Struthio camelus: one gene and its partner. The main gene of each other region encodes a partner of the protein of the gene in region 2 in a complex. Links are inferred from orthologs where the notes say so. Each region holds a gene or a part of one and is shown on either strand. Other genes may lie near its edges.

What was found. Proteins that work in one complex are often made in the same cells at the same time.
Region 1: the proteins of RANGAP1 (region 2) and SENP2 are in contact, whole or in part, in a crystal structure (PDB 2IO3), measured with the Homo sapiens proteins. The link is inferred for Struthio camelus from reciprocal best matches to the Homo sapiens genes RANGAP1 and SENP2. Residues at the interface, in NP_001265580.1 of Homo sapiens: Glu467, Asn508, Thr511, Thr514, Arg515, Val518, His519, Leu523, Lys524, Ser525, Glu526, Asp527, Val529; in NP_067640.2 of Homo sapiens: Tyr408, His409, Trp410, Val477, His478, Asp495, Met497, Gly498, Gln499, Lys500, Pro536, His537, Gln541, Gln542, Asn544, Gly545.

The regions. Positions count from the first base shown.
Region 1 is NC_090950.1:3,002,013-3,009,705, forward strand, and holds the start of SENP2 (sentrin-specific protease 2), read left to right. Parts: upstream 1-4,677; 5' UTR 4,678-4,695; coding exon 4,696-4,802; intron 4,803-7,693. UniProt on the Homo sapiens protein: Protease that catalyzes two essential functions in the SUMO pathway.
Region 2 is NC_090942.1:56,877,872-56,885,313, reverse strand, and holds the start of RANGAP1 (ran GTPase-activating protein 1), read right to left. Parts: upstream 3,016-7,442; 5' UTR 2,689-3,015; intron 2,645-2,688; exon of another isoform or gene 2,368-2,644; intron 1,934-2,367; 5' UTR 1,896-1,933; intron 241-1,895; 5' UTR 214-240; coding exon 102-213; intron 1-101. UniProt on the Homo sapiens protein: GTPase activator for RAN. Converts cytoplasmic GTP-bound RAN to GDP-bound RAN, which is essential for RAN-mediated nuclear import and export. Mediates dissociation of cargo from nuclear export complexes containing XPO1, RAN and RANBP2 after nuclear export.

The DNA.
Region 1 (7,693 bases), on a different chromosome or scaffold from region 2:
AACATGAGGCTCTAGGAGAAATGAGCTGCGTCACCCTTGGGAGGTGGATGGTAGAGAGCCAAGATCAGACTTATACCGGACATCGTGCGTCGACACAGCTGCAGTTAGGTGAGACGATGTGTCACTTCCCCACCAGCTCCTTGCTATGGCGAGCACCAAGGAAGTGTGTTGTTAGCCAGCTGAGGGACCTCCCTGCCCTGCTTCCAGAGTCCTCCTCAGTCCACACAGGGGTGGAGAACGCTGTGGTGGACCTTCTCAGCTGATCGAAAAGTGACATGATGACAGCCCGTGGGCAAGGAAGAATGTCTTGGAGATGTTAGTGGGCAGATGAGAAGACAGGCATGAATGCAAATTTGCCCTTCTTAGCTGAGGTAGGAGGTCAGTCAATGCCCTACAATTTTAGAGCTTGAGAAACAGAATGTGGTGCTTTAAAAATAGGTTTTTTATTCAGTAATGGGTTCTCTGTACTCTGCCCAGAATGACACGCGAGTGTAAAATGGAGTCTGCCTTCTGGACTGCTTATCGAGGGGACAGCAGCCATTTTACGGGGAAGGCACAGACAAGCTGAGAGGTCCTCAAAGAAAGGTCATCTCTACTCCCACAATGTGCTGTCACGTTTCATGTTCACATGCACGTAAGATTACCCAGCCAGACACACTGAAGACACGGGCACTTGAATGAAGTATGTCCCACTGGCTACAGCAAAATGTAAACACGTGCTCAAATGGGTTGCTGAACAGAGATGTGCTTACATTTATGTACATACGGACCAAGAAACCAAAAGGGATAATAAAGAATTAAGCTGTGAACTTAACCTTCAGCTATGTAAATTACAGGGAACAAAAAATATAACCAATGTGAAACAGTATTATAAATGCACTTTAACTACAGGCACTGTGTTATAAAGTGTAATCTTGCTGAATTGGGACAGTGGAAAACAGCAGGCAAGTTTCAGCCTCAGAGTTATCTAGGATGAAAAATATTTTTTCCAACCACTTCTGCTGTCACACGATATCCCACTTGATAGAGTGTGATTGTATAAAATGGGCTGACCAGCCAAACACATACTAGTCATAAGGTAGCTATGTTGACAAATTGAATCATATTTAGTGGGATTATACCCAAGGCAAAGAATTCTGAAGATTAGTAACTGAATGTGAAAGCATCAGCAAATGTATGCTGCTGAGACTCGTACTGCTGGTTTGGGAGCGCTGTGCTCCAAACCCACAATTTAAACTCCTCCTCTTTGCAACTGGGAACCAATATTTGTATGAAGTAACTGAAAGCATGAGCACTGACAGCTAGATTGACGAGATGACCAGCGCTGTACTAGGCTAGCGCAGCACACATTGGTTGCTTTGTAGGGCACAATGCCTAGGGCTATCTATCTATCTAGGTACTATGCCACCTTGACATCATCTTAAACTCATGTACAATAAAGAGATTTTAATGATAAGTATATTATAGCTATGCTTTCAGATACCTAAAATTACCATTCATCTATTTCCAAAATTAATTATTCAAGTGGCATCACTTTATCATGATCATGTAACTCCATGTTAACTCTCCTCATGTGTCTAGGACAAATCCTTTGGGTTGTACAGGCTTATATGGATTTCAAAATGGAGCCTTGCAGTTGCATTAACCCTGTTTTTACTGACAGTTACTTTTCAAGCACGCTCACAGACATAAATACGGACCTTTTGTGAAGCATTAAAATAATTATCCTCGCACTATTCTTGTGAGGATAAGGAAGTGGTGTTATCAGAAGTTTGTTTAAAATAAGGGAAGCTTGTTTAAAATAGCAAACAGATTTCCTGACGAGAGTTCTCTTTTTTTTTTTTTTTTTCTGAACCTTAAGACTTCTCCTGCAATGGGTTAGACCACATGATGGGGGAGACTGCAGCTGGGGTGACCACGCCTGCCAGAGCAACTCCTGCACGCATGAACCCTGCTCCAATGCATGTGCTCCCCAGCTGCTCTGCTGCCATTTCCCTGTGCCAGGACTGCACATCAGCCAGCTGGACGCCTGCGCTTGGCATCGGGCAGAGCCGGAGAGAAGCCACTGCGCTGTCTGTGCTGCCAGCGCATCACCTGCAGACAGGGAAGCAAGAAGTGCAGGACAACTGAGTGAGCCTTATGTATGACAAGCCTGCCTTGGGTTCAGGGAAGACCCCTTTCCCAAGAGTCCAGCCTTCCTCTTTTCCATGATTACTGGATTGCATTATGTTGTCTAGTGAGTTCAGTGCTCTTGCTTTCTATCTGCACACTTCACTGTGCACTGAAACAGCAGTGTCGCAGGTAAGTCTTGACTTTGCAGAGCTAAACCTCATGCCTTTCCTTAGGCAGGGATTTAAATAAATTTCCCTGCACCCACTCCATCTCTCTGCTGCAGGATTCACCTAAAACATACAGGCCGGGCAGAAATGAAAGATGGAATAACTGACTGGAAGAAGTATTTCCAAGCCACAGGCTCACTGCAGGCCCTGCATGGTGCTGCTGTGCCCTCTGCTGGACTGCTTCTCCAGACCTTTGCAGGCCTTGCTGCACCTCATTTAAAGCCTTCCCACATGCTGCCTTAGTCCCTGCGCCACTGGGTGCTGACCCATCTCTCAAATTGAAGCTTTGTGTCCAAGTCTCAGTCATTCCCTTCCTTGGCCAGTGCCCTAAACCGTAAATGGAGCGGTAATTAAGTTCCTAGTATAATGAGCAAGGTCATTTTAATATAACAAGGCTCTTTGTACCACCGTCATTTATACTCCCTGTAGGCATGAACAGCTAGCGGGTCCTCTTGCAACAAGTGCATCCTGTGAAAGCGCCTTCCCTGTTCCAAGCACATTAGTCCTCCCAGCTCACTAAGGCTTTATTCTGCAGCTTCCTTAAGGCAGTTTAGTTTTCTTACACTTTATTGTTTTCAGTTCTGATGTGGAAAGTCTCTCCAGGAGGTGGCTACAGCAATGCCTGCAGCATCCCCTGCTGCCAGCACAGTGGATCGTCTCAGTCTCCAGTGTAGCCATCAGTGCACCTTTGAGTTCCTGCAGTCATCTGACCTCTGAACAATGAGTGGCCATTTTGGAAAAGATGTAATTGATAAAGTTACACAGGCAGCACACCCCCACCCCCACCCATGCTTTGGGTTAAAAAAAAAATAGAAAGAAAGAAAAAGCCAAAAGGCCCAACTAAAAATGAGATCTCTTCATTCTCAGCTGATTTTTGAAGCCATGAAAATATTCACTTTTAAGGTGCCTTTTTTCCCCCCAGAGGAACCCATAAAGTAGACATTGGCATCTCCGCAATAGCAGAGCATGCGAGCACACCAAGTAGCTGACCACTCTAAAGGTCAAGCAACAGCACCTCAACTTTCCTTAACGATGGATGGGCATGACCCCTGTTTTTGAACAGTCGGTCTCTTTGATGAAACTGTGGAGAAACTGAATAATCCAAGGAGCGGGCAGTCATATTAGGTAAGTCATGTATTAACCTGAAACTAAACTGCTGTGAGATTTTGAGTAATCGTCCAGGCAAGAAGTCTTCCCAGCCCTCCCCACCTCTCATGCAACCATGTCAAGAGGGTCAATGAACCCCCTTTGTACTATCCAAATAATTGGTCCAAAACCAGTGATTTCTACCACAAAGATAATAGACAATATTTGTCAAGCCTCCTCTCTTGTGACTGTCTGCTAGACCAAGTGATCAGCAAGTACCAAGAACTCTGTTAACAGCAATGCAGAACAAGGTATTGCTCTAACAGCAAGCCAAACCTATCAAGAGAGTAATCTACCAGAGAAACTTCAGTGTGCCCACTCCAGAAATCTTAGACGCCGAGCAAATCACACGGCAAGGCAAAAGCAAAGGGAGCAGCAGAGAGAATGGGCTCAAGAGCTCTGTTGCTGAAGCAGGGCAGGACTTTGCAAGGCCAGGATCTGGATCTCCAAAACACCTGCTTGGAGACTGCCAGGGAAAAGGGCAGATACTGGCTCCAACGTGCTCTTCGAGTTGCTTGATCTCCCTCACCATTGTCCTTCTAGTGATAACGCCGCAGTGTTACTCAGGCCAAAGACCTCTTCCAGTCTTTTGGGATGGCGCACGCTTCTCCCACACAGCAGGAGCAGCCTCTCTTCCCCTTCCACGTGGGACAAGGGACACCAAGGACCAGGAAGGGCCCAGCAGCTCCAGGCTGCTGCCTCCCTTCTCCGGGCACCGGGGGCTGTAAAACCCCTGGAGCCCAGCAGGCCTCGGCACGCAGCTCTGCCCTCTGCTCCACGCAGAGGCCTGTGCACCAGGCCCAGGAGCACCCCAGCGCCTGCCCGGGCTGCACCGAAAGACAGGAAAGCTCTGAAGGCGTCGAATAAAGCTTCTGCCAGCGGATCAGCTGCTGCTGCTCCTTCTTCATTCCTCCTCTTCCTCCCCCCCCTCCCCTCCCCTCCCCGCCCTAGGCGGAGGGGCCAGGCCACGGGACGGCAGACCGCCCCCCACCCCCCCCCGCCTCCACGAGGCGCCTCACGCCGCCGGCCGCCGAGCGGCGCGCATGCGCTGTGCGCCCCGCCCCCGCCCGGCGCGCAGGCGCCCCGCTTCCGCCTCTGCTTCCCGCGGGGGCGGGAGGCCGCGCGCCGCCACAGCCAATGAGGGGGGGAGGGGGGGAGCGGCGGGCCGGTCGCGCGGGATGCGCGCACTTCCGCCGCGGCGGCCGGGCCTATGTACCAATGGCTGCTGGGGGCCCTGGGCGCCCTCCTCGCCGCCGCCCGCCGTGCCGCGCCGCCCCCGGCCCCGCCGCCGCCGCCGCGCAAGAGGCCGCCCCGCAGGTCAGCGAGCCGCCCCGCCGCGCCCCCTTAGCCGTGGGGCCGCCCCGCCGCTCCGGCTCCCTCGCGCAGGCTCGGCCGCAGCCGCCTTGGCCTCCGCCACGGTGCCCGCCGGCGGCGGGGCCTGGCCGCCGGGGAGCGGCCGCCCGGCGGGCCTCGGTCGCCTCCGCTCTGGGAGGCGGAAGCTGAGGTGGTTGCTGTGTTGCATCGTAAGCTTAGGCCCGGTTTTGTCTCGTTCCCTGGGGTTTCTCTCATTCCTGCTGCTGTCTCTCTGGGTCTGCCCTGGCCCTTGGCCCGCTCAGAAGCCCTGTTCCCGGGCGGCAGGGCTGGCGCCGGGCCTTTTTAAGGCGTCTGCATCATCCAGCATCCTTTTCCGCCCTGGCCCTGGAGCCGGTGAAGCAGGCTGGGCTGCAGTGCTCGTTCTTGCCCCAGGCTGTTGGCCTTTTTGCCCCTCCGTGGCGCTCTGTGCTTACGGTCACGGTTACTTTGCGTGTCCTGCGCAGATCAGTTTGACTGCTGGATGTGCCTACTGAGTCCATTAGCAAACTCCTCCCCTTGCTCACTTTCTGTCGTAGTGGGGGTATGAAGGCAAGAGATTTGGAGCACGTGTGTTTTCTTGGAGCAGGAGGGACAATGTATGTGTATATAGGGTTTTATTGGATGAGGGAAAGTCATGACGGGGGATAGAAACGTGAGGATCATAATATGGTTCGCATATGTATACAGAGCGGAAGAAAGGGGGATGCTGTCACAGATGTTCACTGTTGGTGTTTCTAAGTGACCTGGAGCCCTGGCTGATGGCTGAACCATCTCTGTGCCTGTCTGAAGGGAGCGAGCGTACTGCTTGCGTGCTATGGTTTGCCAAGCATAGTCACTTCCTCTGTGAGGAGCTGTTGCTCCAAGAGGTTCTTGAGGCTGTGCTTAGTATCGGGCGTTTCAGAGTGAACGTGAGAAGTGAAGGTGTTCTGAGCTTGAAAGAACCAGTTGCTGCATAAGTAGTTTTTCACAGCTGCTGTGCAGTAAACAAAGAGCAAAATCCCAAACTGAAGAATTCACCTTTGTAGACACCACAGACTTTTATTTCATAGTTTGGCCAGGAAGGCTCTGTTGGCTAGCTGCTCACTGGAAATAACAGTGCTAAGCAAGTGGGATGAAAGGCAAATGAAACTGCATTAGGTGGCTTCAGAAGCTGTCCTGCTGCTGAATATAAGTTTTCAAACATTGTTAACTGAAACGTGCTGTAAAATGGCAAAGATATTGTCAGGTCACCTTTGTGAGTTTGTTCAGGGAAATGTAAAGCACAAAACTCAGCTGTGGATGGGGCAAGTGCTTATTAAAATTCAAGTGGAGCAGAAGAGTGTTTTCAGCTAGCGTTGTAGCACGATAGGTGCAGGAAAGTTTTGAGCTAGGAAAACTCCCATTCACTGTTCAAAACTAAAGCAACAGGTGAACAGCGAAAGTAACAAAACAGTGAAAGTCCCCCAAAAGTTGCTTGCTTTGCTACTTATAGCCCCTTGCTGTTTTCCCATAGTAGAAAGAGGAAAAGCTGGGGCTGGTGAAACCGGTGGGGAAAGCAGATACACATAGCTACTACTGTAGAGCACTGCTGAAGTGCAGTACTCAATTTTCTTTGATTAACCTGTGAAAATTTGAATTTATCTGCAGCTTTATATTATAAACCTTAATGAACTGTTCTCTGTGCTCTTGCAGGGCAGGGAGGGGGGTTTGAAAAGAACAGAGCCTGAGCTTACGCACATACATACATACATATATATATATATATATATATATATATAGCATTATTGCACTTTTCTAATACCTTATTTTTTTTTCCTGTGGCTGCTGAAGAGGAAAGTAAAATGATGGCCACAAATGGGTGCCGTCTCCCCTAGAACAAGGGGAAGGATGCGAGCGTATCCTTGCATGTACAGCAGTCTCAAATGGCTCATGTTTTCTGGCCTGTTTTTTCAGCTTGTTTCAAATATTGTTTGACATCAGTGTCCTTATTCCTGTCACCCAGACCCTTGGTAAAACCTAGATTGTAATGACAGAGCGTAACCTCCTCAGAGGAGGTGTTTGCATTCATGTTGGAGACAAAGGTAGCTAAGCATAGATTCATTTCTTTCCTAGCTGCCGTCTTTTACCTGTCTGCGTTCCCTGGCCATGCCTACTTTAGACAATCAAGGAGTTCCGAATTTACATCTGAATTACCAAGAGATAATTCATCTTTCCCAGTGATCAGACTAATTCTAAACACCCAAGTATTTGATAAATTAAAAAAGGACAAAATAACGCTCTCACAGATGTTTAGTGCTCTGCTAAAACTGGAGGATGATGCATTTCTGTTCAAGAGCAGTTACTGTTACCACAGGCACGTATTTAAACTATGCTTACCTCAAAATGTAGCATTGAGAAGGGTGAACTGTACTTTGGCTCTGCTAAGACTAATGCTGGAAAATTTTCACTGAAGACCAGCTCAGAATGAAACTTAGCTCTTGCTTTACAAAAAAAAAAAAAAAAGATCAGGAGGACACAGACATATTTTTATCCTCTTCAGTTTTACCTTCTGAAATATCAAACTTGCACTTAACACCTGCCCCCCCATATTTTCTTCCTGCCTTTATTAGCATATCAATAGCTCTATATGAAAGGTGCAGTTAAGGATATCAGTTATGTTTGAAGAGCTTTTCGTGCACCCGATAGAAAAGGAAGATAGTCCACTAGTGATGGTACCAGCTTTGTTTGGGAGCGTAACAGTTTTAAAGGAATTATTTTGTTGAAGAAAGACCAAAGAATCCTTACAGTGCATCACAGCCTTTTTGGAAGCAAAGGGAAAAGCCATTAGAAAACACTGTCTGTTCCCAAAGTGAAACCTTTTGCAATGCTTCCTCTTT
Region 2 (7,442 bases):
CGAATATGAAAACTTGGCCATGCAAGATGGGATGGAGGTTTACTGCAAGACATTAGAATTACAGGGAGACACTTCCCCAACACAAGGATATTTTCTCTTACCATCTTCTGCTGTATTGAGTTTAAGGCTCTGGCCTTTAAAGCTCAACTGTGCTCCACCCACTTTGGTTTTGGCAAGTGACTCCGCAAGCTTAGTGATGTCTTCTGATGCCATCTTTTCCGCTTTCCCAAACTTTACAAGCTGTTAATTAAAAAGAAACTGTCAACATTAGAAAAGCAAACGATGATACATAATCTATATTAATAACTGTCTTATATTTAAACACTAGTGGTTTTTTGTTCCTGAGATATCTAATCGAGTTTTCACTGTCATTAGTGTTTTCCCTCATAGCTCACTCATGACAGCTTGGCCAGATTAACATTTCAAAGTTGGATTTGGTTGATTTTTCCAGTCCTGAAGAGGCTCATGTTTTGTTCTGATGAAGTTGGTAAGTGGTTTTAGCTATTGGTTGCTTATGAAGTATAACGAGACCACGTTAAGACACTGTTTTGCATACAACACTTTCACAGTTAAGATGTGACATTCTTTTCTACCCAAATCTAATCCTTTAATTACACGCACCCTGCACATTTCCCCTCTTCTCCACGCCAAACTAGAACGAACACAACTGTTTTCCCCTTTCATTTATATCCCTAGTAGTGCTCATGTCAGCACAGTTCTAGAATCGCTGAGCTGCTGAAAAACATCATGTGTATTAGCTACAAAAGTCTCGCTTAGATTTGTGGGCTTGCTTTCTTTTTGGCTGCCCCACAGAGTCGTACTCAAACACATTAAACAGATATATATATATGACCCTGATATAACCCTGATGATGGATCAGGGAACACTTCACTTCTATGCACAAATTGGTGCTAGCCATGGCTAGTAGCATCTGTAAATCATTATCTGATGACTATCATCACTCTGAAGTGAATGATCCCTGTTCATTCAGCAGGATAAACAGAGCATTTTTCTTTGGTGGTTTCATGGTTTCTTTCCACCTCTGCTGAAATAAGGGGCTGCAAGCAGCTAGTGCTTAGAAGAAAAAGACCTTTAAAAGAGATTTCAGGTGTTAACGAGGATGCAAGTTAATCCCTACAACTGCACAAAACCGGACCCCTTCCACTCTTGTCTAACTTCAAGGTGAGCACAAAAGCTTGCTGCTCTTTAAGCCCCTCCAATGGGGAGGATTTTAGACACCCCCTAAATGAAAGTTGTACATACATCCTTTCCTCCTGCTACCTGGCTGTAAAAGGACCTGCCTCCAGCTCTGCTCAGGTAGTGCCTTTCTCTTAAGGTTTATGAACTTTAGTACTGCTGCTTTTGGACTTGCAGGGGGAGGGGGTTTCAAGGTTCATCAACATTACCATTTCAGGATGACTGACCTCTCAGATAGGAGAGGAGTAATTATTTGAGCATCTTTCTGCTGGCAACATCTATCAAGTCACTCAGGCACCATGCTGATAAACATGCCTAAACTTCTTCCAATCCAATAGCAAAGAGAAGAAACAAACAGAGAGGGTGTTCTCCAACTCACAAAGGCTCTACCACACAGGAACAAAAGTTAAATAGGATCCAGAGAGGTCAGTTCGCTCACCTAAGTGGATTCTCAACTTTACTTTCGAGTATCTCATCACCCAGCTGTTTAAAAATGAGTTCTGTGTTCTGCTGTAATGTTCTTTTATAATCTACAAGCATACTCCCTCCCTCCCTCTGCTTCTCTTCTCCCTAAATCCCTTTTTTCTTTCTTCATCTTATACATGGACTACTTCCTGATTTCAACATCCCATTTCTCCATCACATCCTGAAGCATGTTTTACTGCAAACACATCAGCCACACCCAACTGTTAACCTACCAGAGGTCTCTTCACTGCCAGGTCTTCTGCAAGGAAAGCTTTAAAAAAATAAATAAATAAATAAAATCAACAGAAAAGTTAGTAGAAGTATTCTTGGCAAACAAAAACAAGGTCTAGAAATGCCTGAAGAGACGTTTCCTTATTACTTAACCACTGCATAATGCTGTACACTTCCTGATGGTCAAAAAAAAGTTACTTTAGCTCAATACTTTATTTATAATGGTTTATCCACGCTAATGGACAAGACACCGACTATCAAGCGCACTACCCAAGGGGGAGCCCTGCTGTGCACCCCGGGCAATCCAGAGCCCCACACCCCGCTCCCCGGGGAGCTCGGTGACAGCCCAAGGCTCCCCTCCGGCAAGTCCCCGACAGGCTCCCAGTGCGCCTTTCCCTTAATGACGGCTAATGGCTCCTCTGTACCCCTCAGGAAGGTGCGGCGCACCGGCCGCGCCGCCGCCACGCCTCCCACCTGCTCCCCGAGACTCCCCCGGCTTCACAGAGCCGACCCGGCCGCCTCGCGACGCCGCGAGGGCTGGGGCCGGGCACGCGTGACCCGCACCCGCAGGCCACGCACAGCGGCGTCACCGGGGCGGCGGTGGCAGCGGGGGGGGGGGGAGGGGGAAGGAAGAAGAAGGGCACGTGGGAGCGTCGCGAGGCCGCCCCTCCCCCCGCCGCGAGGAGCCGGGGGCGGTGGCGGGGGGAAGCGGCCGGCGCGAGCAGAGCCTCGCGCGCCCCCGCTCCCGCCCGCCGCTCCCAACGGGCGCCAACCGCCGCCGCCGCCCCGCCTCACCTCCGCGCCGCGAGGGGGGCTGGCGTCGCCGCGGCCGCCGCCGCCGCTCGCTGCCGGTGGAGGCGACCGAGTGGCGTCACCCCAGCTCTCCCGCCGCCGCCGCTGCCGACAGACCGGGGGTGGGGGGGGGGAAGGGAGGGAGGAGGCGGAGGATTTGAAAGCCGGCAGTTTTGTTCTCCCCTCTCGGATTGGCTGCCCGGCGTGACGTCACAAACCCCCGTCCCTCGCCGCCCCGCGCGAGGCGGTGAGCGTCAGCGTGCCGCAAGCCGCCGGCCGGCCGCGCCGTGCGCGGCGGAGCTACGGGTGCCACACTGTCCGGCCAGGCGCGGGGCACGCCGGGCGATGTAGTTCTGCGGAGCGGGGCGGTAGTTCCCGGCATGCCTAGCGCGCAGCGCCGCCCTGGGTGGCGGCCTAGGCCCGGGGCCGGGGTGCTGGAGATATAGATAGATAGATATATAGCTATAGATATATCTATATATATAGATATAATATCTCCAGTGGGCTGGATATATTCAGCCATTTGGTCCCAAAACATGACAGTCTTTTTTTTTTTTGTTCCTTCATTATTCTGTGACTGAGGTTTTAAGAAACAATATCAAATGCTGTTTATCCAGACCCAAGACAAAACTTGAACTAATTGGCAATGCTGACTGACACGGGAGGCCACGCTGAGGCTGAAGACACGCTAGTCCTTCTTCATTCTAGGAGAAAAGGATAAATAAGTTTCTTTATGGAGCATGACAGCCGAAAATATAAAAGCCACCAACTGGTACAGCAGCTAGATAGAAAGCTTGAGCTAAAGCTAACTCATAAGTAGTAAGAGGAATTTCTCTTGCAACTGAAGAAAATGAAGAAGCTGAGGCACTGACTAGATTCTGCTTGTGCGTAAGGAGCATAAAGCTATCAGAAAACGTAGAGCAGATGAGGAGATAAATTAGCGTGATCTTGAGAGGGAGCCTGAACTCAGAAACTATGAGCGAGGAAATTGCTCCTATTATTCCTCCTGATCTTTAGCAATAAACAGGATCATATCAAATCTATCTCATTCCATTCTCTATTTTTCTCCCAAATATTGTCTAGCTACATGGGGCCAAAGGGGCAAGAGCAAAGACTTCAACTGTGGATGCAGCTATACTGGACTAAAGGTATATTATGCCATTGTAGCAGATTCCTTCTCCTCAAAGGAATAGCTTCACAAATCAAACTCACTTTTATGCAACTGTAACTCAGTTCAGAGTAGGAATTTGCCACCTTTTGACTCTGCTGACTATGTGCATACTAGACGTAGATAACCTCATTTGCCAGTTATGAGAATTTGGACATTAACCAGTAAGGAAAGATGTTATTCATGAGTGGGGCAATACATACTGGATCATGACTTTATGAGACAGCCCTCGGTATTATAAGCGAGGAAAAAGTGGGGTGGAAGAGGCTGTAATGCGATGCTCAGTGAGGAAATTCAATCTTAAAAAATGAATGTTCTTGAATAAAAGAACCGTACTAATTCCAGCGGAATTCCTTATTATGTATAGATTTTGTTTTCGTTCCTCTTTTTCCTCAGTTCGTCCTAAGCCCTCTTGTTCTTCTCATGCAACTGCTACGTCTTGCCTTTCAGACGTTCAACTCTCACAGCAGGGTTGGAGGCATCTTAGGCGCCGTGACTCATCTGAAGCTTATTGGCTCCATGACGCTCCCCTTCCTATGTGATCTGACATGTCAGATCTCCCCATGTTTATCTGTTTCCACCAGGCCTGCTCAACCTTCCTTCTGCCTAAAGCCTCCCCTCAACAGGAATTGTCATTTAATGTACATTTTGCACAGCACCTTCTGCAGTGGAGGCCCAACTTGGCTGGACTTGTCATTGCCTAAGAATCCAAGGTAACAAATTGCTGAATAGTTAACAAAAAATAAATATTGTCCTATCTAAAAATAACAGTCATCTTTGGATCGTATCAGAGAACATAATGAATATCTAAAAAAAAGTACATTGTGATTAAATACTGTGAACAGTGTAAGAAAGTGTTCTCCAATGTCATATGGTACATTATATAATTTACAGCCTATATATCATAAATTTTCGGTTTATTGTGTCAAAAGAGCTGCCAGAAGCCAAACCTACTCAGTATAACAAAGTCTATCCTGTTCTGACCGGAATGCTTTAAACATTAAGCAGGTTTAATACATTTCAGACGATACTTTCTACCTGCGTTCGAACATTGGCTGAGTTACTTATCTGCAAAGCACAAAGTGATGCTGTTTTGGGTCACTGTAAATGGCCAAGTGAGACACTGAGAGGTAAACATGTCACTGATTACATTTGTAAAGAGGTGATAATTTAAACCAGCATCAGTCTGGAAATTACAATCTGACAGTAGACAAAATCCTTAGGGAGAGGAAAACCTAGCCTACCGGGGAGGGTGGATGAGGAGCTGAGCATGAAACTCATTCCAGAGGCTTATTTGAAGTTAATGATGTTGCAGCTGGACAGGGATGGATGAAACCCCTGTCTAAGGGGGTTTGTGTATCTCTGTGTTCGCAATCATCTGCCATGACCCAAGAACAAATGATGATAAAGCCGTTCCTGGGGTTCTGCCTGCATGGAGCGTTGTGGAGAATCAGGCCATTTCCTGAGACTGTTGAAGGATTTGGGATGAGAAACCAAAAATCAGATTTCAAAAAAGCACCTAAATACATATGTGTATTAAAAACTGTTGTAAGTCTATAAATATATGCATTGTATATGTATATAACATATGTGATGATATTACATACAATATACATAATTACATAATATAATAATATGTAATAGATCTATACACTGTGTACGTCTTCCACAAAAAAGTTTACGTTTTTAGAATATATTGTGTCCAGGAAAACCCCTCAGCAGTGTGGGGTGGATTAAATAAGCTCTGTTTGCAATTGCTCTGCCCCCCCGCCAGCAAACATATATGTATGGGCAGAAGGGCCACTTCATGCATGGGATAATCCCATGAGGGTCGCATCATTCCATTCAGTTCATTGCTGCTCCTCACATGCATAAATTACTGTGCAAAGGCAGCTTGGGATCTTTTGCTTTCTTTTGGGGTGTGTTTTATATCCACAAAGCCAGACATCCGGCAACGAGGAAATTGCCTTATTAAAATAAGAATGAGCTTCAAACAGTTAAGCGTGTTAATTTTTTTTTTTTTGTTAAAGCTAATTCACGTAAAAAGAATTTCAAAAACAACCACAAGGGAAAGATTGTATGAATTTTTGTAATGGAAACCGGTAGCCTCTAGGGCCCAGAGGATATGCAGGGAGGCATTTTCTCTTGCTGGTGCAGCTGAGAGAGAGAGAGGGAGGGAGGGAGGGAGGGAGGGAGGGAGACCTGGAAATGAAAGTAAAGAGATCAGGAGGCACATGGAGGGAGCTGCAGGGGCAGCCGATCCAGAAGCAGAATGCTTCCTTCTATAATTAAATAACACTTACTATTATTATTACTTATAGTAATAATACTTTAATAATATTTCTAGTAATATAATACCATTTATCAAGAAAAGTTATACATAGTGTGAGGGGGAAAACCCAAGGAGAGGTAAGTCTTATTATTGTTTTGGGGGGTTATTTTTTCTTAAACCATATATAAATATATATATATATATATATATATAAATATGTCTATAAAATATAAACGTATTTATGTATGTATAAAGGGTGGGCTTTGAAAAAACAAGAACATCTTGATGTTGCTTCATTTAAAAGTAAACATTTCAAATAGCAACTACATAGAGGAAACGTTTTGTAATTCCAAATGTAAAAAAAAAAAAAAAGTGGAGAAAAAAAAATTGACGGGATTTTGAAGCTGCCCCCACTCTTCCGCCAAAATTGTGGGGTTTGCAAAAAAATAATTGTCAGAGATCCTAATCCCACCCCCCGGAGAAAAATGTGGTAGTAGTCTAAAAGTGAACAGCTTGCTAAAAAGCCCTTGGGTTTGCATTAAAAACTTAGTATTAATGGTGTTTGTGCCGGCTGCTGGTTGTAAGATTTCAAAGCTCTGTTCACGATCTGCGTTTAGCCTGCCGTGTCCCCCCTCTTATTTGCTATAAACCCCATGAAGCAGCCCTTGTGCCATAGCTTCCCAGATGCATCTTCCTCGGGGGCTTGTAAAGTTTATCAAATAAGTTGTTGTTGTTGCTGGTTTTTTTTTTAATTCTTTGATGCTTTTATACCGTTTCCGGGTAGAAGGGGAGGTTTTTAATATATATATATGTATATTATATATGTTTTTTCTTTTTTTTCTTAAAGTAGCCTCCCAGGCTCCCGGAAATATGTGGGTTTTATTTAAATAGGTTGGCGGCGGCTGGGGGTGGGGGGTGGTGGGGGAAGGAGAAGGGAGAGTGTTTTGGGGGTTATTTTGCTTTTTTTTTTTTTTTTCCGGGGAAAGCCTGGCTGTGTCTTGCCGCCGGAGAGCCCCCCGCGCTGCTCCTGCCCCGCAGCAGGCCCCGGGGGCGCCGCCGGCCCCTCTCGGCCGCGGCCGGGCGAGGCGGCGCTGGCGCCCGCGGCGGCCGCCAGGCGAGGCCGGGGATCGGCGGCCTACGGCGCGGGGTGGCGGGGGGGAAGAAGAGGGAAGCGCTACTTCCCGCGTCTGCGAACCGACCCGGGGCTTTAATTATAAAAGCGAGGCAGGGCTGGGTGGACAGGAAATGAGGAGGAAGCGGTTGAGGGAGAGAAAGCAGCACCTTCCCCCCCACCCGGCCCCGGGCTGGGGCGGGAGG